Linked DNA regions of Rhinolophus ferrumequinum. The main gene of each other region encodes a partner of the protein of the gene in region 3 in a complex. Links are inferred from orthologs where the notes say so. Each region holds a gene or a part of one and is shown on either strand. Other genes may lie near its edges.

The links.
Region 1: SEH1L (region 3) and NUP37 share a complex: the UniProt entries of both Homo sapiens proteins name them as parts of the nup107-160 subcomplex of the nuclear pore complex. The link is inferred for Rhinolophus ferrumequinum from reciprocal best matches to the Homo sapiens genes SEH1L and NUP37.
Region 2: the proteins of SEH1L (region 3) and WDR59 are in contact, whole or in part, in a cryo-EM structure (PDB 7UHY), measured with the Homo sapiens proteins. The link is inferred for Rhinolophus ferrumequinum from reciprocal best matches to the Homo sapiens genes SEH1L and WDR59. Residues at the interface, in NP_112493.2 of Homo sapiens: Asn308, Tyr309, Met310, Asn312, Lys314; in NP_085058.3 of Homo sapiens: Pro713, Asp714, Glu716, Thr717, Pro718, Arg721, Arg837, Glu840, Gln843, His844, Asn847.

The regions. Positions count from the first base shown.
Region 1 is NC_046293.1:17,231,698-17,240,153, reverse strand, and holds the start of NUP37 (nucleoporin Nup37), read right to left. Parts: upstream 3,756-8,456; 5' UTR 3,439-3,755; intron 1,083-3,438; exon of another isoform or gene 1,002-1,082; intron 938-1,001; exon of another isoform or gene 857-937; intron 1-856. Other genes in the region: PARPBP (PCNA-interacting partner), read left to right, coding at 4,730-4,882. UniProt on the Homo sapiens protein: Component of the Nup107-160 subcomplex of the nuclear pore complex (NPC). The Nup107-160 subcomplex is required for the assembly of a functional NPC.
Region 2 is NC_046298.1:22,518,514-22,526,587, forward strand, and holds the start of WDR59 (GATOR complex protein WDR59), read right to left. Parts: upstream 3,756-8,074; 5' UTR 3,652-3,755; coding exon 3,598-3,651; intron 1-3,597. UniProt on the Homo sapiens protein: As a component of the GATOR2 complex, functions as an activator of the amino acid-sensing branch of the mTORC1 signaling pathway. The GATOR2 complex indirectly activates mTORC1 through the inhibition of the GATOR1 subcomplex.
Region 3 is NC_046302.1:5,254,990-5,262,871, forward strand, and holds the start of SEH1L (nucleoporin SEH1), read right to left. Parts: upstream 3,362-7,882; 5' UTR 3,232-3,361; coding exon 3,121-3,231; intron 1-3,120. UniProt on the Homo sapiens protein: Component of the Nup107-160 subcomplex of the nuclear pore complex (NPC). The Nup107-160 subcomplex is required for the assembly of a functional NPC.

The DNA.
Region 1 (8,456 bases), on a different chromosome or scaffold from region 3:
TGAAGAAATCAAGACGTTAGTACATTAACTAGTTTGCCAAGCTCATAAGACAAGCCAGAATTTGAAAACTTTACTATGTGTTGGACACCAGTGCTAGAGCTCTTGGCCTCGAAGGAGCTCACAATCCAGGGATAGTTAAGGTTCAGTGTGAAAGTGCTACAACATTGGCAGATACAAAATACAGGATCTGGAAGGAGTGCCAAAATGTGTAATATAAAAATAATACTCAAAAAACCAGGCATGAAAGTCAACTAACCTGTAGTGGCCTGGTGTGCACTCTGGAAGTACCACTTCCAGATGAGATTTACCGATTCTAAAGAGTTGTGTTGTTGTTTTTAATTGGATGCAGTTGTCCTGAAAAGTTGGGTTCGGCAACAAACATTATCAAGTGCCTGATGAGTATTTACTGAGATTCAGATGAGCCCCACCTCTGGGTGCCTATAAACTAGTACTCTTGCAAGTGGGCATCCTGGACTGATCATTTGTTAAGGGTGACCAGCAGGTGAGATGCCCTCAGAGGCACAGTGGTGTGGGAAGTGCAAAAGATTCGATGTTAGGATATTCGGTCCCCTACTGCTCATTAAAGTAGTGCCCAATCTCACTACATTGTCAGGGTCTCGCAGTACGGGGCGGGCTGCACTTGCCCCTCTAAAACGGGAAGGGTAGAGGAGGGAGGGAATAAAAGAAGTTACTGCAAAGAGCCCCGACGCCTCTCCAATGGTCGGCAGGCCCCGTGAGACCCCGCTACCACCTCCCCGAGCCTGAGGTCGGAGGGAAGAGGGGTGGACAACCGCCCGGGGAGCTTGAGGCATTTGGTAGCGAAGCGGCCCGACCCCTTGGGCGCCTTGATACGCACCGGAGGAAACCGGGAAGCGGCCAGATGGTAGCTGGTCTCCACCCGGGGTTCCCGCCGCTCACGTCGATTCGGCTTCCGGGTCAGAGGGCGGGAGCGGCGATTGGCTCCCAGACGCTCCCGCGAGATTTAAAATGTAACCCGGGAGTATTCGAATCGTAGAGAGACTGCAGCTGGGCGGCGCCTTACTTCTGTTGCATTTGCACCCCCAGCTTCTCCCCCGAGCCAGGTGAGTCTCGCCTTTCCTTACTCTCCTGTCACACGTTAAGTGGTGATTCAGGCCGCTAGTTTTCTGGTGACAGCCAAGCGTCATGTGACCGTTTAGGGTATTATTTGTGCTGTGGCTGCGCTCTTTAGCCTGACTGGGTCTGGGTGTGTTGAACAGTTTGCCGTATCTAGTAACGAGTGGAGCTGAAGACTGAGGCCCTTAGTGCCCTACTTAGATTCATTAGGCAGGAAGCCAGGGTCCGACTCCCAAAACATAGGCAGACTCCAAGTCCGCTCCATTCGTCCTTTCCCTTTTATATTCTCTCAGGGGCCATTTAGGACACACATTCTGACAATGATAACGGTAGCAGCAACGACTGCTATTTTTTTATTGAGTACTTACTGAGTGCAGGCACTAGGTGGATTATTTACTTGTCTCACTGACGTCTCATGATTTTATGAGGTAGGAGATATCCTCCCCTTTTTGCACATGAAAAAATAAATACTCCTCAGAGATTTTAAATACCGAAAGGCATACAGCTAATAAATGGGAGACCCTGGATGTGGACCCTCGTCTGTCTGACTCAAAAGTGTACTTCTTTTAATCATCTCACTGCTTCCCCAGTGGTAGTTTCCTGCTTTTCAATTTTTGGCCTAGTACAGCTTCTAATCCAATTTTTTAGAACAAGAGTAATGACGGCTGCCGCCTCCTATTGCTTTTGTGTAGTGCAGCCTGACACTGAGAGTGCATATTCATTCTCATTGACTCCTTGAAACTGGCCGGAAGGTATTATTCCTGTTTTCTCTTTGATGATACCTCTACCTAGGCAGTCAGGTGTGAAGCTTATTTATTGCCTAGACTCACACAGCTAGCTAGCTACTGGAAGAGCTGAGACTAGAGCAGGGTTGGCAAATCCTCCGCACTGCCTGTTTTTGCGTCGCCATTTCCCTTGCTAAGAATAGGTTTTACATGTTTAAATGGTTGGGGGGAAAAAGATCTAAAGAAGAAGAATATTTTGTGCTGTGTGAAAAAGTGTAGAAATTATATGAAATTCAAATTTCAGTTGTTATTAAGTTTTGTTGAAGCTCATTTGTTTATGTATTGTCCGTGGCTATTTTCACACGGCAAGGTCAAGTTGATAGTTGTGCCAGAAGACTATGGCCTGGACTCCTCAAATATTTGCTATTTGGCACTTTCCAAAAAGTGTGCTGACTCCTGGATGAGATTTTTGGCTTTTATATGTGCCAGGCACTGTTCTAAAAGCTTATCTTATATTTGTGTCATTTGCTTTTCACAAAACCCTGTGAGATAGGAACTGTTAATATTTTTATTTTCAGTGCAAGGAAGCTGAGGCAGGGAGAAGTGACATAACTTGGTAAAGATCTTACAACTAGAAAGTGGAGCCAGGATTTAGAACAGTCTAATTCCAGATTAGTCTTCATTCTTAGCAATCTGAACTCATAGTACCTTTAAATAATACCAGTGAATAGTTTACTACCAAAGGTTTATTTTAGACAAATTGATCACATCACCGAAGTTTTTTTTTTTCCTTAGGAGACATAGGGGGATATTTTGAAGAGAAATATAATTCTTAGCTATTTACTAGGATTTGTATTTATATAGATACTTTAATATACATTCTTATAACTGTATTTTTATGTGACATCGGTAATTACGTCTATGAATTACTATTTTGTAGATGGCATATGCCCTTTTTTTTTTTAAATGCCCCCACTCCTTTTTATCACATAAACCCAAGATACACAGTAAATATATGGGATTTTGTTTATGCCACATAAAAAAGGAAGAAAAAATCACAGAAAGAGTAAGTAAATGGGATGTGTATGGTAAAATGCCCAAAATAAGATAATGGCCTGTGCATATATTGGAGACTTGGGTACTTAAAGTAGGAGGAAAACCCCAAACTTTTAGGCATCTCTGTAAACTCAGAGAAAGGAATTGAATGCCTTACATAGGCTTAGGTACGTAAAACCTTGGAACTATATCCAGTTATTTAAAAAGGCTTTTATCGATCAGGAGAAGTTAGGTAGCATAGTGATTAAAGAGCACAGCTTATGGAGTTAGGCAGGTATCTTGGGTTTAGGTCTGTTTGACCATTTGCTAGCTGAGTGACATGGGGCATCACTTTCTTTAGATATAAAATGAGGAGAATAATAGACCTTCCTCACAGGACTCGTGCGAAGATTGAATGAGGTAATAAGTCTTAAGTTCTTAAAAAGGATTTGGCGCCAAGAAAGCTCCTAAATGACCTATTCTGTTGGTTATTTATTGCTGTATAACCACCCCAAAACTTAGTGGCATTAAAACAACATATTTGCTTCTGATTCTGTGGATCAGCAATTTGCGCTGGACTCACCTAGGTCGTTCTGCTGGCCTTTTCTGGGATCGCTCATGTGGCTGCAGTTCATTAGGCAGGTTGATTGGAGCTACGTAGTCTTAAGATAACCTCACTGACGTTTCTGTGATATTGGTTGTCAGTTGGAGCGCCTTGGATCTCCTTCATATGACCTCTCCAGTAGACTAGCTTGGACTTCTCCACATCTGAGAATAGCAGGAGAGGAAGAGCTAAAGCTTCAAGGTTTTAGGTCAGGTGGCCCCCAAGACCACCTGGTCTTGCTAAGTCCGCCTTGGTTTGCTAAGAGGACTCAGAGAATTCAGCATATAGTCATACTCATGGCTATAATTTATAACAGCAAAAAGATATGAGGCAATATAAGCAAAGGGAGAAAGTGCATGGGGCGAAGTCCAGTGGAGACCAGGCAGAAGCTTCCGAAAGTCCTCTTAGTGGTGTCAGGCAGGACTTGCTTAATTCCTCTAGCAACAAGTTGTGACAACACATTTGTTGTCTGTCAGGGAAGCTCTTTAGAGATTCAGTGCCCAGGGTTTTTGCTGGGGCTGAACACGTAGGCACCCTCTGTCTCTGTTCCAAAATTCCAGACTGAGAGGGAAGCATGTGTTCAGCATAAACTGTATTGTTTGTACAAACAGTGTAGGCACAGTGAGCCACTGTTCCCGGAAACCCTCCTGAAATCTAAGTTCCCCGACGCTAGCCAAGGGCCAACCTTGTAAGCAGGCCTTTGAAAGGATAGCACTCAGGCCTGCTGCATTAACTCCTTTCTACATGGGCCTTTTGAGGTCTAGGCTTGGAACTCCCACAGTGTCATTCTTGCCACATGCTATTGGCCAAATCAAGTCACGAGACCGACCCAGATTCAAAGGGGTGGAAAAATACACCATCTCTTTGGGGATAATATAAGGATGGGAGGAAATTGGCTTTCCACCCCCCCAATCTACCACAGATATTACCATCTATTTCAAAACAAATATTTTTAATTAGCTATGTTTGTGTCTATAATTATAAGTTTGTAGAATTGGTGTATCTGTTTTGTAAGAATTTTCAGATTGAAGGATGTATTTTGTTGTTTCAAAAGATTTGGCTTAAGAAATGAAAGGAGAGGAAAATATGATTGGGCAGAAATTGTTTTATTCTGTTCTCCTAAATTTAATTAAAAGCAATCTTAGTAAATATGAAATGACCTCTCATTTATTACTTATTTTTCTCTAACTCTGCTTGCTACACATGTTAAATATTAATTTCCAATTAGAATAAAGCTTTTTAACATTGCATTCTGTCCTAATTTAAGAGGATGTCTGTGCTTAATCAGAAGTCTGTCTTGGATATGATTAAAGACTTCAGAAGGAATTGGCACACACTTTGTGATTCGGAGAGAACTACTGTATGTGGTGCAGACTCCATGCTCTTGACATTGCAGCTTTCCATGGCAGAGAACAACAAACAGGTTAGTAGACTGTATTTAGGTTAACTTTTTTTTTTGAGTGAATTTTGGTTGCTGCCCATTTGAATAAACTTCATTACATTCATTTTTTTTTTTTTTGCAACAGATGCCCTCCTATGGTAATATCAATGGACATTCACAAATGCTTCTGCATATATGTATCAAAAGTTACTCTTGGATTTGAAATGATTTGTTTCAAAATTAAGGTCTTCCTATGTATAATTTAACATAGGGGTATGCACATTTGATGTTTAGTTTGAAGTCCTAAGTTAAACATGCAACTAATATGATTAGGGTTAAAAATTATTTTTATTTTATGACTTCCTTTCGTCTCTAGAGACGAAAGTTTCTGGAAAGCACACATAAGTAATGTTTACTTAATATAAGCGAAGTATTTTACGACTAATTTAAGACTCTATGTTATAGATTAATTATTCCTAAGCCAGGCTATGAATCAGAATAATTTGGGAGGGCTTTTGAAATATATTGGCCCCTGTATCCCAATCTTGGAAATTCTGATTCTCTTAATCTGCATTGACCATGGAAATCGTCTTTGTTTAATCTCCCTGAAGTGATTTTTACGTAGTTGGTGTGGCCCAAACTAGTGTTTGGAATGAGCTCTACCTAAAGGGGTAGAAGTGTACCCATGAAAGAAGGATAAATGTAGGCTGAGTGGTAAGGAAAGACTTGTGGATAGTATAAAGGAAGGGTAGTCTTTGGATGGGAAGGGTTTAAAGAAGGAATGAAGGAAGGGGAAAGCTCAGAAGAAGCAGCCAGGGGCATCAAAATCATGATGGTTTGAAGATGGTAAGGAGAACCGTCTTGACTAGGGAAGAAGATTTTGGATGGGTGGAATTGGTATTCATGGGTCTGTTGTGAAATAGATAGTGAAATGACATTCTGATGAATTATTTCAATCCTGTATGTCAGTACAGGCTTTTTGATTTCACATATTAGTAAAATTTCCAAAAAAAATTAGACGTTGACTGGTTCGAACATTTCTCATGTTTGCAAATAAGGCCATTGAGAAAAAATAATTACTAGAACCATCATTTTGAAAAAGGAAGAATATTTTAACACCTAAAAATTAGGAATTATGTGACCTTAAAACAAGAGATAATTTTTCCTACGCATGGATAGTTGGCAGTTTTGCATATTTAAAACAATGTACATGAAGATAAATTTTGAACATAGAAAAATTTTGACAAAATTCTATCTTATTTAGTCAGTCAGTTAGTCAGTCAGTCATTCTTTCAACAAATAGTTACTGAGTTTTTACTATTGGCTGGACAATTTTCTAAGTATTAGGAATATAGCACTGAAGGAAATCCCTGCTCCTATGGAATTAATCCTCTAGTCAGGAGAAATAGATAATACTCTACTAAGTAAGATATTTAGTATTTTATGTCGTAATAAGTGCGACACAGAAAAGCAAAACAGAGATCCAACTAAAGAGTAGAAGGAGTTTGGGGTGGAGGAGCTCTTGCAATTTGAAATAGGGTGGTCAAAGACCTCATCTAGAAGTTGCCATTTGAGCACGGATTTGAAAGATGGGAAGAAGGAGCTAGTCATGGGGATTTAGGTGGAAAGGGACGACCAGGCAAAGGGAACAGCAGATACAAGGGCATGTTCAAGGAACAGCAAGGAGGCCAATTATGGCTCTTCATAGAAATATTAATTTCTTTCCTCTCTTCCTCCCTTCCACAGATTTCTTTCTTCCTCCCTTCTTCCCTCCCTCCTTTTCCTCTCTCCTTTCTTTTTTTTCTTTTGTCTTTTTTCTTTGAGCTTCTACTATGTGCCACCAGGCAGTGTGATAAGTGTTGGAGTTATTAAAAAAATGGTAAGCAAACCAGACATGGCTCCTGCCTTCATGAAGCTTATTGCCTAGTAGGTGAGGCAGACGTTAAGAAGAAAAGAATCCAAAGAAATGCAAAATTATAGCTGTGAGAAGAAGATGTAGACGATACTATGAGACCAGGGAGTTGACCCGGTCAGATCAAGCGGAGCCCTAATGGAAAGAGAGGGGTGAACTAGGCAGATGAGTCGGGGGGTCATGATGAGGATGGAGGAGCAGCATATGCAGAGGTCCTGTGGCAGGAGACCCAAGAGAAGAGTTTGGGAACATGCGCAAGGACCGGTGTAGCTGACAGGGTGATAGTGATCGTAGTTATATGTCCAATTTGTTTGTTCCTCATTTTTAATTACAGTCATTGTTAGAACTCAATTTTACTTAGGTTTGTTGGAAAAAAATGGAAGTAGTACTTTTCTGACATTTTATTTTGAAAAAAATATTAAACTTCCAGAACAGTTACACTAATACTACACTGAACTCCTATATGCCCTTCATTTAGATTCACCAATTATTAACATTTTGTCACATTTGCAATACCATTCTTTTTATATTTTTTGATGTATATATAAATAAAAATATACACATGTATATACATATTGTAATTATTACTCTGTGTGAACCATATGATAGTAAGCAACAGACTTAAGTCTTTATTCCTCTTGGTGTACATTCTATGGGTCTTGACAAATGTATAATGATATGTAACCACTATTATAGTATTGCTCAAAATAGTTTCACTGCCTTAAAAATCCTTTGTGTTCTACCTATTCATCCTTCCTTCTCCCCAATCCCTGGTGACCATTTTTTATTGCCTCCATAGTTTTGCCTTCTTTAGAATGTCATGTAGTTGGAATCATGCAGTACGTAGCCTTTCAGGTTTTAAGGCTTCTTCACTTAGTAATATGCATTTAAGTTCCTCCATAATTTTTTATGGTTTCATAGCTCATTTCCTTTTAGCAGTGAATAATTTTCCATTGTGTGGCTTTATCAGTTTATTTATTCATTCACCCTGTTTTGCTTTTCTTCCAACCAATGTTCAGTAAGATATTCAATATTTAATAGTTTTTGGTTTGATAATTGTTGGATTTTCTGCTGTTATCCTTTTTATATCCAAAAGCTCTTTTTTTTGTTATCTCTCTTTTTAAAATATACTGTTCTTGCTTCAAGGATGTATTTTCTCCTTTGAGATCATTAATAATATTTTGTTGAGTATTTTTTCTTCTTACATAATCTGTTTCCTCTAAGTTTTTTTGTTTTTCTTAGTTTTATTTGGGAAGGATTTCCTTTCTTCCTATTAGAGACTTTCTTCATGATGATCCTGGGCCACTAGAGTCACTGAAATGCTTATTGGACACTCTGTGTCCAGGGTTAGGGCTTGTCATCCTGATCTGACCCGGCCATTTGGTTGGCGGAGGGGTTGCTTTAATGTGATGTATTTAGGAAATCCCTTTGGGAACAGATTCCTCAGAAAAGAGTCTTCTTTCCTCCTGCATGAATGGTATGAAGTTGAGCTAGCAATGTGTTGGGAGCCTGAAAGGCGTGTCAAAATTTAGAATATAAACGGTCATGTGATTCCTATGGTTTTCATTCAGGTATTCCTCTCCTCAGCTGCACACTCTTCAGTCCATAGGCTGTATTTTATCCTCTCCAGGGAATAAACCTCCAATTTTCTGCCAAGGTAGATGAGTGCTGTCCCCATCGCAGCAGAAATTAGCTAGTAGGCAC
Region 2 (8,074 bases), on a different chromosome or scaffold from region 3:
ACTTGGAACTGATGGGTCCTGAAAAAATACACTTAAATAAATAAAAGTTTAATAATTATTTAAAAAATCATGTTCATGAAGTCAGCTGTGTTCCTTACAGCATTTGGTTTCACCACTCCAGAAAAACTGATCACATTTTATCAAAAGAAAGAAAGATTCTACACGGCATTTCTGCAGAAAAACGGAGTTCATCTGGTGCAGTAGAAAAAGTACGCACAGGCTTTGGAGTCAGAAATAGGTTCAAAACCCTTGTCCACCACACCTCAGGCATACAACAATAAAAAACAATCCAGCACAGCTCACTGACCTCTTATATTGCTGAAATTAGTCGATACTTTCTATTAGTTTTTCACTTGATCTGACTCCTCCTTAAAACCTTTGATTTCTATGACATGAGTCTTTCCTGAAACTCCTCCCAACTTTGGGCACCCCCCTTCCTGGTCTGATCCTAATCAATCCATTTCTTCCTATCTCTGCCTGGGCTCAGGCCTTCATCAGTCCTCACTGGACAGGTACCCCAGCCTCTCACCAGCCTCACTCTCCACCCTCAGGGCTGTTGTTAGACTTAAGCCTGGTTATGCTGCTTGCTTGTTCATGCTCCTTTAGTGGCTCCCCACAGCCTACAGGACAAGGTCCAACACCCTTGGCGTGCCACTGAAGATCACTTAAGACCTCTTCTCTGATCACTTCTACAGGCTGTCTCGCATCTCTCCCTCCCAAGTCCACCCCAACACTCCAACCATGACCAATTCTTGTTTTTTTCCATTTAAGTAGAGTTGGTATACAATCATATATTGTATATTAGTTTTAGGAGCACAATATAGTGATTCGGCATTTTTATATCTTACAATATGATCACCCCACTAATTCTAGTAATCATCTGTAACCCTGTAAACTCACTGTATTTTTCACTATATTCCTCTCCCCCATTTTACCTCTCTTTGAGTATAAACTATTGAATCTCCACTACACTTTCCAATACCATTGCCACTAGCCACAGGTAGCTATTTAAATGGCAATTAATTAAAATTTGATTAAATTAAAAATACAATGTGTTGTACTGACCCCATTTCATGTGTTTAACAGCCACATTTCCATCATCACAGAAAATTCTACTCGATGGAGTTGCCCTAGAAGATTATCTCTAAGTTTTCTTACAGTGTCAATACTCATTGATTCCAGGGACCACATACCGTGTTTCCTCAAAAATAAGACCTAACCAGACAATCAGCTCTAATGTTTCTGTTGGAACAAAACTTAATATAAGACCGGGTCTAAAAGACGCATTAGAGCTGATTATCCGGCTAGGTCTTATTTTCAGGGAAACACAGTAAGAGTAGATCCAAGCAGCACAGGTTCTTCACTATTAATCAGTGACAATATCTCAAGGCATTGATTTATAAAATAAATGATGCTTGTATAAGGTGTAAAAGAAAAAGAGTTTCACCTTTTAGGCTGGGATTTTTCCACTGAAAAACCCAAAAGCTTTTATTTTTTAAAGAGGCAGGGTGTTTTTAAAAGTTTATTGTTCTGGCCTTCCTCTTCAGAAAGACAATAGTAAGAGTTTCAACTCTTCATTTCTACATTAATGAAATAGTTAACAAAAAGGGTCCCTAATCCCCCACCAATTACCATCAGAATTAACCACGAAACCATGATAATTGACACGAATGTACCTTTCCAAATGAGCAGAAAAATCAGAAAGAAAAACAGAAACTCCCACAAGGCAGTTAAATTACCCAATTTACTTTGTCCTCTGACTTTGACAGCTGCTGTTTCGGTTTATTATCCTACTACTTCATAGCTTCCTAACCTATGTGTCAGCACCCTCTCTGCAGGTCTCTTCAATGACGTTTCTATAGGGAGGTCTGGTTTCTCTGTAAGAGGCTACCTGTATTTCTATGAGAATTAAAGGGTTTACAGATTAGTAGCTTCCAAATTAGCAGGTTCCATACAAGATTTTGTTCTTAGTCCCCAGTGAAAGTAATTAACAAGAAGGGTAACAGGAATGTGGTTCTTTATCCCTAGGAGTCTGGCGAGGCCTCCCCTGGGAGCGCAGGCCTCCCAGAGACACAGTGCTGACAGTACAAAGTGCTTCAGGATTCTTTAATCCAAATGCTGCCGCTCAAATTCTCCAGGGAACTATGTATCAGAGAGCACCATAGAGCAAACTGGTTGGTGGCTCCTCCACTCATTATCTTTATGACCATGGGATTTTAGAAAGAAGAAACCACATCACCCCTTGTTGTAATCCCAATTTCCCTTCAGTATAAATCATCTGAGTTTCAACACAGCGCCTGGCACAGTCTGCACCTGGCAAGAGCTCAATAAATCCTTGTTGAATAAATGAGTGACTGAAAGCCTGGCACACAGAAGGTATTCCATAAATACTGGGGTGCCAAAAAAATGTATACACAAGACCCGTATTCATCTTTTGTTATCAGTATAATATTGAGTATTACAAATTTAACACAGTTTTTTCCTTTCTTAAAATGTGTACACATTTTTTTGGCACCCTCTGTATTTGTAGCATAAAAAGCGAATCACCAAGACACTGTCCTAAGGTGGTGGGGGTACATGGTATTTGTTGAGGAATGACTGTATGACAAGCTCATAAAATATGAAGCAAGGCAGTGTAATGAGGCCAACAAGAGCCCTGGGGCCAGATGCCTTAGTTCAAATCCCAATGCAGCCACATAAGGGGACGTTGGCCAGGTCACTTGGGATCAGCCAAACAGAGATCAGCTTCTCCGTTTGGAAACAAAGGGATAATATCTATTTATCTTGTGTGGTTCTTTCATGAATTAGAAAAAGAAAATACAGAGAAATCACTTAGCACGAGGCCTGCCATATGGGACACAGGAAATTTAAAAATGGTAAAAATCACTAGTAAGTGCTAACGTTCCTTGAGGCTTACCATGTGCCTGTCACTGTACCACACATGCTAAATGTGTGAATGATCTCATAGTAAAATTCTCAAGCCAACCCTTTGAGGTGAGCAAACTAATGCGCAGAGAGTGAGGACAGGCTTGGGGCTGAGCCGGGATTCGAACCCGGCAATACGGTATTTTCCACTATTCTAGCAGCAGCGACAACTTAAAAGCTTAGGCGCCGAAACAGGCACTATACCTGCAGTTTTGTTTTTTTTAATTGAATCCACCCCCAAAGTCCTGTGAAGAAGCGTTAAGTCCACAGAGCTGTGAGGCTCAGAGAAGTTCTGCGATTTGCCCAAAGTCACTAAGCGCGACCCTCAGCCTGGGGAAGCAAACACCCCCTTGCCCACCATCCGAGTTTGGAAGCTTCCCAGCACTCACTCGCACGCAATCTCTGCACTTCGGAGTCCCAAAGCAGACACCATCCCCGTACCCCCCGCGGGGAACCCCGAAACCCTGTCGGCGCCCGCCCCAACCGCCCCCAATAGTCATCAAAGCTCCCCCTCGCCCGCTCAGGTCTAACAGTTCCGGGTCACTCTCTTGTCCACGAGCCCAGCCCAGGCTTGGGGGTCGCCCCGCCGCCCCTGAAGCGGACCCGGCAGCGTGGGGGAAGGGAACCGGGAAGGGCGCATGCCCAGAAGGCTCCATTTGGCGGCCAGCTCACCTGAGAGTCGCGAAACTCCACCACCACGTTCTCGCTGCTCCATCGCGTAGCCATCTCCTGCAGTCGGGAGCCCAGGTCCCAGAACCGCGCGTTCCCGCCACCGAAACCCGCGTACCAGGGCTCTGTAAGCCCCACGCAGCCTGCGACTGAGCCCTGCCACGCCCCGTTCCCTTCTTCCGCCTGAGCGCAAATCATTGGCTGACCCAAACACTGGCTCCACCCCCTCTTCCAGACTCCTCCAATTGAGGAACCGCCCCTACCCAAAACAGGCTCGCCCCCTCCACTTCCGTCACTCGGCTTGAGTCACACAAGCTTCGTCCCGGCTGCGGACACACACCCCCTTGCTGCAAGCTGGGCCGGGAGTTGTAGTCCAAGGTCGAGTAGCGGGTGGATAACACAGGAAAAGCTCGCAGATTGCGGTTTGGTCGAGATGCAGTGCGTGTTGTCTTCCCTGTCTCCTCGCTGGCGTCACCGGCAAGACCGAGGATGTCTACAAACCAAAATCCAACATTTGTGCAAACCTGCCATAAAGGCATTGAAAAGTCTGAATGGGAAATTTATTGTTTCGTACAGTACAGCAGCACCTGCCAAAGTGTCCAGGGACCCCAGCGAGTCTCCACAACCTTTTCATGGGGTTTCTGAAGGCAAAACAATTTTGATAATCATACTAAGACGTTATTTGCCTTTTTCACTTTCTTTCTCTCATCAGTGTACAGTGAAGTTTTCAAGAATCTACGTGGTATATATTGTATGTAGCAGATTGAATGGTAGAAGCAGATGTGAGAATTCAGCAGGGTTTTTTTTTGGTTTTTTGGGGTTCTTTTAATTAAAGTTAATTGGGGTGACAATTGTTAGTAAAGTTACATAGATTTCAGGTGTACAATTCTGTAATACATCATCTATAAATTCCATTGTGTGTTCACCACCCAGAGTCAGTTCTCCTTCCATCACCATATATTTGAAGCAGTTTTCTATTAAGCCAGACATTAAAGAGATTTGCCACTTATCCCACTGTTTTTTAAAATAAATTATTTTTCATTTACAAAATGTATTATCAATGCTAATGTGCATTAATGTACAAGTAAAATCATGAATAAATACGTTTTAAATTTTCATTTTTTAATCTATTAATTACTATCAGTATATATAGCCCACATAAAAGTTGGGGAGGGGGAATCTTTAAAAAGTTTCAAGAGTGTAAAGGGATCCTGAGATCAAAACGTTTGAGAACTGCTGATTGCACAATAAATGGTGATTAGCTACTCTTCTTTTGTCCCACCCTCTCAAATCCTGGCTTAACTGGCTTAGCTTCTATTTCTTTATAGAAGGGGAAAATGACCTGCTTGATTCACTCGGTTGTTACAAGGAGTTAAGCACAGAGCCTGGAATGTAGTCAATACTCAAGTGTAAACTATTTTTATTGTTGTTGTTGTTAATACAACTATTATTTCTATGTGCAAGGCATTGCCTGAATAGAGATAAGAAGCCTTCCCTTCCCTCCTGGGGTGTTGGATGTAATGGGGAAGACAGACTTATCAATAGGGTGAACAACGTATCCCAGCAAACCCTTCAGTCCAGATAAACTGAGACAGTTGGTCCCTGTACAACAGGTATACACTTGGCAGAATGAATTGGGTTTTACAAAAAACTTGCAAGCAATGTGCCAGGAGAGGACATCCTAAACGTCCTCTCTTTATGTCATCCTAAATCCTGACATAGCATCTTGAAGCAGGTGACTTTTAAGCTTTTCGGTATAATTAGGATTTCAATAGCGTACACTGTCAAAAATAGTACTTCAGCATTGAAGTGTGAACAAAGACCCTTAAGTGTGAAGAGAAGGATGCACTGCAAAGACACAAAGCAGTTCCTCAATTAACACTCAGGGCACTGTGCTTTTTTTCAAAGTACACTTCACGATTTGTAATTCGATATTTATTTTTTTATTTAACATTTCAAGCTTCAGGAGGACAGGAACCAGGTCTGTTTTGTTTTCAGCCCTGCATGGTGACTGCATATACAGGCACTCCATGAATATTTGTCCAATGAATGAATGCGAAAAGCATATAAAGTCATACCCTTAGGCTGCTATATAGGTCAAGGGATGCCTTCTGTGAAACCAAATGTAATTTTTAAAACTATTCAAAATCTTTACCTGCAATTCTTTACCCCCAGAAGGGAACACAGAATCACTAGTCTCCTTCAAGTCCCTTTTCTTTCTTTCCTATCAACCTATCAGTTATTCTCACACACTGCAGCCCTTAAAAAACTCCAGCCATGGCCTTCACCCTTCTATATTATTAGCCTTTCTTCCTTGTCTCCCAGTTTTCTCCTAATTCTCTACCACAAAAGACTGCTCTAGAGAGAAGGGCCTCACCTCAGCTCAGCCAGCCCAGAGGGGGAAAGATTCAAGGGCAGGGAAAAAGAAACAGAATACTTTCTAAGTGTCCTCATGCCATCGCATAGGAATACGTTGTTTACATAAGAAATGTCCAGACCTGTAAAGAACTTCTATAAGATTTTATTTGAGCCAAAGTGGCGACAATTGCCAGGAAGCAAGATCTCAAATGCTATGGAGAATGATGGTTTGGCAGTTTATTTTTAAGCTCTTGGAAATAAGGAGGGAAAGTAAGGAAGATTACATGAAGGTGGGAGAAAGCAAGGCACTGATCGGATTTCAGGATAGTTTACAAGATTATGTGCTCTCTTGAGGGTGGTTATCCTTATTTCACAAGTGTGTTAAACTAGATGCACAGAAACAATGGACAGGGCTTGCTTAAGGCAAAGACAAACCTTTTACTAAAAAAAAGTATATGCCTGGGGCGTGACTACCCACCATGACCTGCCCAGTTCATCCTGTGAGGTTACTTTCCCTAGAACCCCTTTTTTGTCTCTAATAAAAATTAATCAATTCTGCCGGCCCGGTGCCTCAGGCGGTTAGAGCTCCATGTTCCTAACTCCAAAAGCTGCTGGTTAGATTCCCACATGGGCCAGTGGGCTCTCAACCACAAGGTTGCCAGTTCAATTCCTCGAGTCCTGCAAGGGATGGTGGGCTGCGCCCCCTGCAACTAGTAACGGCAACTAGACCTGGAGCTGAGCTGCGCCCTCCACAACTAAGACTGAAAGGACAACAACTTGACTTGGAAAAAAAGTCCTGGAAGTACACACTGTTCCCCAATAAAGTCCTGTTCCCCTTAAAAAAAAAAAATTAATAAATTCATCTAACATACCATAATCTTATTTGTTTATTTGCCTATTGCCTGGGATGTAGTGGGTGTGCAATAAATATCCACTGAACAAGTGATTAGCAATTTAGCAAATAGTCAGGGCATATGGGAAGTTGTAGCAAGAAGTATAGCTAGAAAAGTTAGAAAGGGCTAGGGGTGGGGGAGAAGAGAGAGACAGAGAGAGAGAGAGAGAGAGAGAGAGAGAGAGAGAGAGAGAGAGAGAGAGAGAGAGAGAGAGAGAGAGAGAGAGAGAGAGAGAGAGAGAGATTCCAAAGCTGTCTGTCTGTAAATAGTTTGGTAATCTGTTTCCCACTAAAACCTGTAGAATTGCTCTTGCCTGAGTATTTCTGCAACCCTCCCCCACTCCTACCTCTTTAGTTCATGTCTGTCTAGTTCTGAAAATCTGCTTGTCATGATTCGTAGGCACAGAAAGTACTTTGGGTTTCAAGTCCTTGGTGCTCTGTGTTCTCTCAATGTTTTCTTTCTTAAATGTGAAAAGAGCCCAGTAGAATTTTTGAGAGAGGGAGGATGAACACCTTTCAGACTGCCTTCTTGGGCCCTTTCTTTCCATCTCCCACCCACATTGAAAAAGTAGGGATTCAAGCTAAATCTCGAGATCTCTGGCTGCTGCTTCATTGCTATGTACCTCTGAGATCCACCTATGAATATCCTGTCTGAATCAGAAACTGGGGACTGTTAGGAGTCCCTTGTCAAGTAGAACTCAACTGGCTGACCAGGCCTCAAGGCCCTTATCACCAAGCAATGTATTTTCAGAAGCAGGATCTCTGGCCAACCTAGAAATCCAGGGCTTTGGCTGGCTCTTATCAGCAACTACTACGGTAGACTCGCAAGTTTGAACAGAATCCCTTTTCATTCCAGTCCTGTTTCCTTTTCTAGAGAATGTGAAGTTTAGCTGACCCTTCCATCTGTTTACATCTGAAAATCTTGGAATCCTGTCTGGAGCCCCACTAGTAATTTCCCTCTTTTCATCAGTCAACAAATATTTGTGGACATGCCCACGTGCTCAAGCTCCTTGCTAGGTGCATTTGGTTGCCCATTACTCTGATTTCTCTCTTTAAGTTTCCTCTTTTCAAGCAAAACAATAAAAATGTAAAGAGTTCTGAGTGGTCTGGGAGGAAGTCTCTTACTGGGAGTCACTTGTCTACCCCCAGAGGAGGTGCTGGGGGCTCCCTCCAAAGCTGTAGGGAGCCTTCCCCACTCTCAGGCTCTTGGAGACAGAGAGGATGCCATAG
Region 3 (7,882 bases):
GACAACCAACTGAAGGGGTGAAGATATTTGCAAACGATACCTCTGATAAGGAGCTAATATCCAAAATATATAAATAACTCATACAACTCAAAAACAAAAAAGAACAAATACTACAATAAAAAAATGGGCAGAGGACCTGAACGGACACTTTTGCCAAAAAGACATACAAACGGCCAGCAGACATATGAAAAGATGCTCAAATTCATTAGCTAAAAGGGAAATGCAAATCAAAACCACAATGAGATACCACCTCACATCTGTTAGAATGGCTACTATCAATAAAACAAGAAATAAGTATTGGAGAGGACGTGGAGAAAAGATAACCCTAGCACACAGCTGGCAGGAATGTAAATTGCTGCAACCTCGATAGAAAACAGTAAAAAATTAAGAATAGAACTACCTTACATGACCCAGCAATACCTCTTCTGGGCATCCACCCGAAAAATTTGAAAACATGTATTTGTAAAGATGTACATATCTGTAAAGATATATGTAGCCCTACGTTCACTGCAGCATTATTCACAACAACCAAGACATGGAAACAATCTAAGTGTTCTTCGATCAATGACTGGATAAAGATGATGTGGTACACATATACGATGGAATACTACTCAGCCATAAAAAATAAAATACTACCATTTCTGCTAACATGGATGGATCTTCAGTATCATGCTAAGTGAATTAAGTCAGAAAAAGACAAGAACCATAGGATTTCACTCATATGTGGGATATAAAACAGAAAGCAACAAAGAAACTCATAGACACAAACAACAGTACAGTGATTACCAGCGGGAAGGAGATGGTGGGGAGGATAAAGAGGGCCAATTACATGGTAACCGAAGGAAACTAGACTTTGGGTGGTGAGCACAACAATGCAATATACAGATCATGTATTATAGAATTGTACACCCGAAACATATGTTATTAACTGCTACCCCAATAAATTTTAAAAAAACAAAAGGTCTCAAAGAGTTATTTGTACATCCACATTCATAACAGCATTGTTCACAATAGCTAAAACGTAGAAGCAACCCAAGTCCACGGAAAGATGATGAGTAAAAAGTGGTATATACAATACATGTAAGGAACTATTTAGCTTAAAAAGGAAATTCTGACATATGCTACATGTACAAACTTCAAAGACATGCTAAGTTAAATAAACCAGTTTAAAAAAAAGACAAATGTATGATTCCACTTACATGAGGTATCTAGAATAGTCAAATTCATAGAAATAGAAAGCAGAATGGAGGGTAGGGGGAATGGGGAGTTATTGTTGAATGGATACAGTTTCATTTCGCAAAATGAAAAAGTTTTGTAGATGGTGGTGATGGTTGCAGAATGTACCTAATACCACTTAACTGTAGACTTAAAAATGGTAAAGATGGTAAATTTTGTTACATGTATTTTGCCACATAAAAAATTTTTAAAGAAAAATTGTAATAATGCCCAACATGGAAAATGATGTTATCAAATCAATACTCACACTGGCAGTGTATAGAACAACCTTCAAAAAGGCAATTTATCAATTATTCTCAAAAGCTTTTAAAATATTCACTAATTTCTCTACTGGAATGAGCCTAAGAAAATCATCCAAAATATATAAAAAGCTAAATTAATGAAGATCTTCATTGCAACAGTACTCTAACAGACAAAACGTACAAACTGAAAGATCATCTAAAAAATTCAGTAGTAAGTGGACAACAAAAAAAGTATGGACTATTCAGTTAACAGACAATACAATATCCACAACAGTCAAAAGGTAGAAGGATAAACAAAATGTGGTGCAACAAAATTATTCAACCCTAAAAATGAAATTCTGATACACTGTACAAACATAAATGAGCACTGAAAATATCACAGTAAGTGAAATAAACAAGACACAAAAGGACAAATACTGTATGATTCCATTTATGAGGTACCCTGAATAGTCAAATTTATAAAGAGAGTTGGAGGTAACCAGGGGTTTGGGGTACAAGGGAAGAGGGAGTTACTAGGTACAGAGTTTCTGTTTAGATGAAGAAAAAGTTCCTGAGATGTACAGTGGTTATGGTGGCACAACAATGTGAATGTTGTGCTTAACAGAACTGAACTGTAATGTACACTTTCAAATTGTTAGTTTACCACAATAAAAAAAAAAAACTTTAAAAAGTAGTGATTCCAAACCTTTTACAGGTTAAAAACACTGCATTATTCGATGGATTTGAGGCACTACTCTTTTTTAGAGAGGAAAATTAGTTATAACTATCTTTGAGGAATCAATGGTATCAAACTTGATGGTTAAAAACGAGAAGTAAATATAGTCTTTCAACTTTTCAGTTATTTTGGAGTTGTTGAAAATTCAAATACTCCACACTCCAGCTTTCATCTTCAAGTCTATTATCGTTTACCCTTTATCTCTTAAATTCCTAAATCCCAAATAGTATCTTCTTAGTATAATAGAAATTGTTATTTTCAGAGCAGTATACAGACGTGTAAATAAACTAAGAAACACACCCTCCAATTCCTCGAGTGAGGAACTTCATTGGGTGTAAATGAATCTGTAATTTTCTTTCATCGCGAAACAACGTAAACCTCCTATCGGAAGACAGAGAATAAATAACCTCTCCAGGTGAAGGACGAGGCACACAGAGCTTAACACTACGAACTGACTGTCCTACAAGACCCAAGGCACAGTCCTTCTCACTGAACAAGAGTGGTTAACTCATTACAGATATTGCCAGAACTCCGCGGACAAAGCAACCCCTACTGGGGACTAGGCTGAGGTAGCTCGCGGACTCCCGCCGAAAAGGACCCGATACGGCGTACGCAGGAACTCGGAGGGCTCCCAGCGTCCCCCGGCGGCGGGAGCGCGCACGTGACCAACAGGCCCGCCCAACCCGCCCGTTCTACGCACGCGCAGGGCAGCACGGCCCCGAGGCGGCTGAGACCCCACAGTGAGGGGACGAGGATGGCGAAGCAGGCCACTTGGCCGAGGTTTGCCGCCTCCCTGGGGCTCCAGGTCTTGTGCCCGGCAGCGCGCATCAATATCGGGAAAGTCCCCTTTCCACGCGCGGGTCCCTTCGCTCACGCTCCCAATCCCCTCTTTCCCGGCTCAGCCTCGCCCCAAGGTTCCGCGCGCACCTTGACGCTCTGGTCGCTGGAGCAGGTCGCCATCCGCCGCCCATGGAAATCGAAGGAGACATCATGGATGAGATCCTTATGGTCCGCTGCGATGCTGCGTGCCACAAACATGGCTTCCGCCGGGCACGCACCTCTTCCGTCTGCCCCTCCGGCGTCTGAAGAGGGCGGCCGCGGCAGAGCATGAATCGCAGTCCCCCCAGACCCCGACGCCGGGACGTGCACGTCTCGTACGGCCTGCGCGCCCCCCGGCCCGCCCCTCGTCCCGTCATGCCCCGCGAGGCCGCAAGGGCTACGCCTGATCCTCCTAAAGGAAACCTTCAGTGGACAGCCGCCAAATTCAAGCAGATGAGCTTTGCGGTGCTTTAATGAAAGTAAAAAGAACTCATTGTTAAAGTATAAAAATTAAGAAAAATGAAAAAGTTAAAATGCTATCCACAGTCCTCAATCTTGAGTCAATTTTGGTCAACGTTTCGATTAGTTTCCCCTGCTATACGGGCAGAGTGCTCAGAGTGAGTCAAAATGTTTAAAGGTTTCACATGTAGAAAAGGCTTGGAGGTAGAACAGACAGGAACCAGGATGAATGAATGCAATGAGATACTAGGAATTACAAAGTTCTCCAAGTAGCAACTTAAATCACCTAGGAGAAGGACAGGATCCGAAATGAACTGGAAGAATGTTGAGCCAGAGTTCTCAATGAAGGAATAAGTCAAACGGGCGGCGAGACGGGGAGGGGGGGGGGGGGGGGAGAACACTGTGAAGGAGACCAGTGAAGAAGTCCGCAAATCAAGGATTCTGCCAAACCCAGTAAGTGGAGGAATATTCTGCAGAGAGGTTAACAATTTAGAGGATTTTGTTTATCAGACATTCCAGAAGGCTTAGTGGTAGAGTCACTTAGAATAGGAAACAGTGGAAGATTGGGTGAGGGAATGCAAGTAAAGAAAAAATAATAATTGAAAATGAGCCTGCCAAAGGAGGTTCGTAGTATTTTAATTTTAACCAAGAATGACAAGAAAGTGGGGGCATGGTGAGATTAGCAAACTAGAAAGTTTTCAAAACAGTCCCAGCTGTCCCCTGATGGATTACATAGAAACCAGCAAAGGGAGGTGGCGAAATGACCTCGCCTTTCTGGAATTTTCTTTACTTGCCTTTTTTCCACTGAATATGAATGATAAGATTTTATTGGTACTTTAAAAGACAGACCTCAAATCTGTGAGTTGCAGGTATGATAACTAATCATTGTAATTGCTGTAAGATCAAAGACTAATTTCTAAAGAAAGTACTCACTGTCTATAAAAGTCCAATCAATTTATAAAAGCTCCAAAACTTTTTAAAATTTTTTAATTTAAATATTTTTTAAAGTTAAATTTAGAGACAGTAAACGAATCAAAGGTTACCAGAGATATCTGGGTGGGGGATTAAATAGATGAAGCAAAGGGAATTTTTAAAAATAGACTTTATGTTTTATAATAGTTTTAGATTCACAGCAAAATTGAGCAGAAAATACATGTGTTCACATATACGTACCTACCCTCTGTAGGTATGCTTCCACGAAGATGTGCTTCCACGATATGCAGATTATTTTGAGCTAAAGGCAAAAGAGACATAAGGGGCTCAAGGGACACTTCTGCCCCTCCCCTTTATTTAGAGGAATTTGAATTAGGGGTCTTGGTCATAATAAGAGATCAAAGAAAACCTATATGGCAGGGCAAACTACTGATTACTGAACATGTGCTCTCCCTGCAATTACCTTCTAAAGTCCCAAGGTGCCTTACCTCATCCTTAGCCCAGAATGTCATATACAGCTTATTTTTTCTGCTGTTTTTCAACCTCTCATGTATGTAGGGCGTTTCTGACTCTCCTGTATGAGGGGTTCCCATATATAGTATGTAAGTAATTAACTTTGGTTATTTTCTCTTGTTATAGGTCTCATGTCTATTTATTAGACGAACCGAAAGAACTGTGAGAGCAGAGGAAAGTTTCTTCCTCCTCAATTCCTACAAAATTCCTACCAACTGGCCTCTACTACTAGCAATACCTAAAAACGCACTGTTATGTTTCTTACAAATGATGAACCTACGTTGACACATAATCACCCAAAGTCCATAGTTTACCTTGGTGGTGGACATTCTATGGGTTTGGACAAATGTGTAGTGATGTGTATCCACCATTGTAGTATCATACAAAATACTTTCACTGCTTTAAAAATCCTCTGGGTTCCACCTATTCATCCCACCCTTCACCCAACCCCTGAAAACCACTGATTTTTCCACTGTCGCCATAGCTTTGCCTTTTCCAGAATGTCATATAGTTGGAATCATACAGTATGCAGCCTTTTCAGATCAGCTTTTTTCACTTACTAATATTTATTTAAGTTTCCTCCATGTCTTTCCATGGCTTGATAGCTCATTTCTCTTTAGCACTAAAAGACATTTCATTATCTGGATGGATCACAGTTTATTTATTCATTCACCTATTGAAGGACATCTTAGTTGCTTCCAACTTTTGGCAATTCTAAATAAAACTACTATAAGCATCTGTGTGCAGGTCTTCGTGTGGACATAAATTTTCAGTTCCTTTGGGATTGCTGCATCATCTGGTAAGAATAGGTTTAGTTTTGTGAGAAACCACCAAACTGTCTCCTGAAGTAGCCGTACCATTTTGCAGTCCTGCCATCAGTGAATTGCTGATGCATCCTATTGCTCCACATTTTCACCATCACTTGGTGATGGTTGTCAGTGTTCTGGATTTTAGCCATTCTAATAGGTGTGTAGTGGTATCTCGTTATTATGTTAATCTGCATTCCCTTGATGACATGATGTGGGGCACCTTTTCATACGTTTATTGCCATCTGTATGTCTTCTTTGGTGAGGTGTCTGTTCAGGTCTTTTGCCCATTTTTTAATTAGGTTGTTTTCTTGTTGTTGAATGTTAAGAATTCTTTGTATATTTTGGATAATAGTCCTTTATCATATTTGTCTTTTGGAAATATTTTCTCCAAGTTTATGACCTGTGTCCTCATTCTCTTTTTTTAAAATAATTTTTTTATTTTTCAATTACAGTTGACATACAATATATTAGTTTCAGGTGTACAACATAGTGATTAGACATTTATATAACTTAACGAAGTGATCACCCCAGTAAATCTGGTACCCATCTGATACTATACTTATTACAATATTATTGACTATATTCCCTATGCTATACTTTACATCCCCATGCCTATTTTGTAACTACCAATTTGTACTTCTTAATACCTTCCCCTTTTTCACCCATCCCCCCAACCTCCCTCCCATCTGGCAACCCTCAAAATGTTCTCTGTATCTGTGAGTTTGTTTCTGATTTCTTTGTTCATTTCTTTTCTTCTTTAGATTCCACGTATAAGAGAAATCATATTGCATTTGTCTTTCTCTGCCTGACTTATTTCACTTCGCATAATACCCTCTAGGTCCATCTATGTTGTTGCAGATAGCAAGATTTCATTCTTTTTATGGCTGAGTAATATTCCATTATATATATATGTACCACTTCTTTATCCATTCATCTATTGATGGACACTTTGCTTCCATATCTTGGCTATTGTAAATAATGCTGCGATGAACATATGGATGCATATGCATATGTCTTTTCAAATTACTGTTCTGAGTTTTTTTAGATAAGTATCCAGAAGTGAAATTACTGGGTCTTTCTTTGTATCTTGTTATAGCCTTTATTTTAAAGTGTATTTTGTCTGGTATAAGTATTGTTACCCCAGCTTTTTTTGTTTTTTGTTTTTCATTTCTGCTTTCATGAAACATCTTTTTCCATTCTTTACTTTCAGTCTATGTTTGTCTTTCAATCTGAAGTGAGTCTCTTGTAGAGTACATATGTAAGGGTCTTATTTTCTTATCCATTCAGCCATACTATATCTTTTGATTGGAGCATTTAATCCATTTACATGTAAAGTAATTGTTGATAGATATGTAGTTATTGACATTTTATTATTCATATTATTTATCTTTTTCCCCCTTCTTCTACTTAAAGAAGTCCCTGTAACATTTCTTGTAACACTGTTTAGCTTTTCTTCTCTGGGATGTCTCCTCATTTTCTTGAACATATTTTTAAAATTTTATTTATGTTTTTATTAGTTTCAAGTGTACAGAACAATATACTGATTAGACATTTACACACCCCATCAAGTCTACTTACCCATCTGACACTGTACGTAGCTATTACAATACCATTGACTATATTCCCTGTGCTGTACTTTACACCCAGTGACCATATATATATATATATATTTTTAAATTATAATTGACATTCAATATTATTTTATATTAGTTTCAGGTATACAGCACAGTCGTTAGGCATTTATATACTTTAAGAAGTGATCTCCCCTGATAAGTCTAGTACCCATGTGACACCAGGCATCATTTTCACAACATTATTGACTATATTCCCCATACTACATTTCACATACCTGTGACTATTTTGGGACTACCAATTTGTACTTCCTAACTCCTTCACCCAACCCCCAACCCCCCTCCCATCTACCAACCATCAGTTTGTTCTTTGTAGCTATGAGTTCATTTCTGTTTTGTTTGTTCTTTTATTCTGTTCTTTAGATTCCACATATATAATTGCTTCTTGGCCTTTTGGCTAAGATCAAGTGTAGATTCCACATTTAAGTGAGATCATATGGTATTTGTCTTTCTCAGTCTGACTTATTTCACTTAGCATAATATCCTCTAGGTCTATCCATGTTGTTGCAAATGGTAAGATTTCAT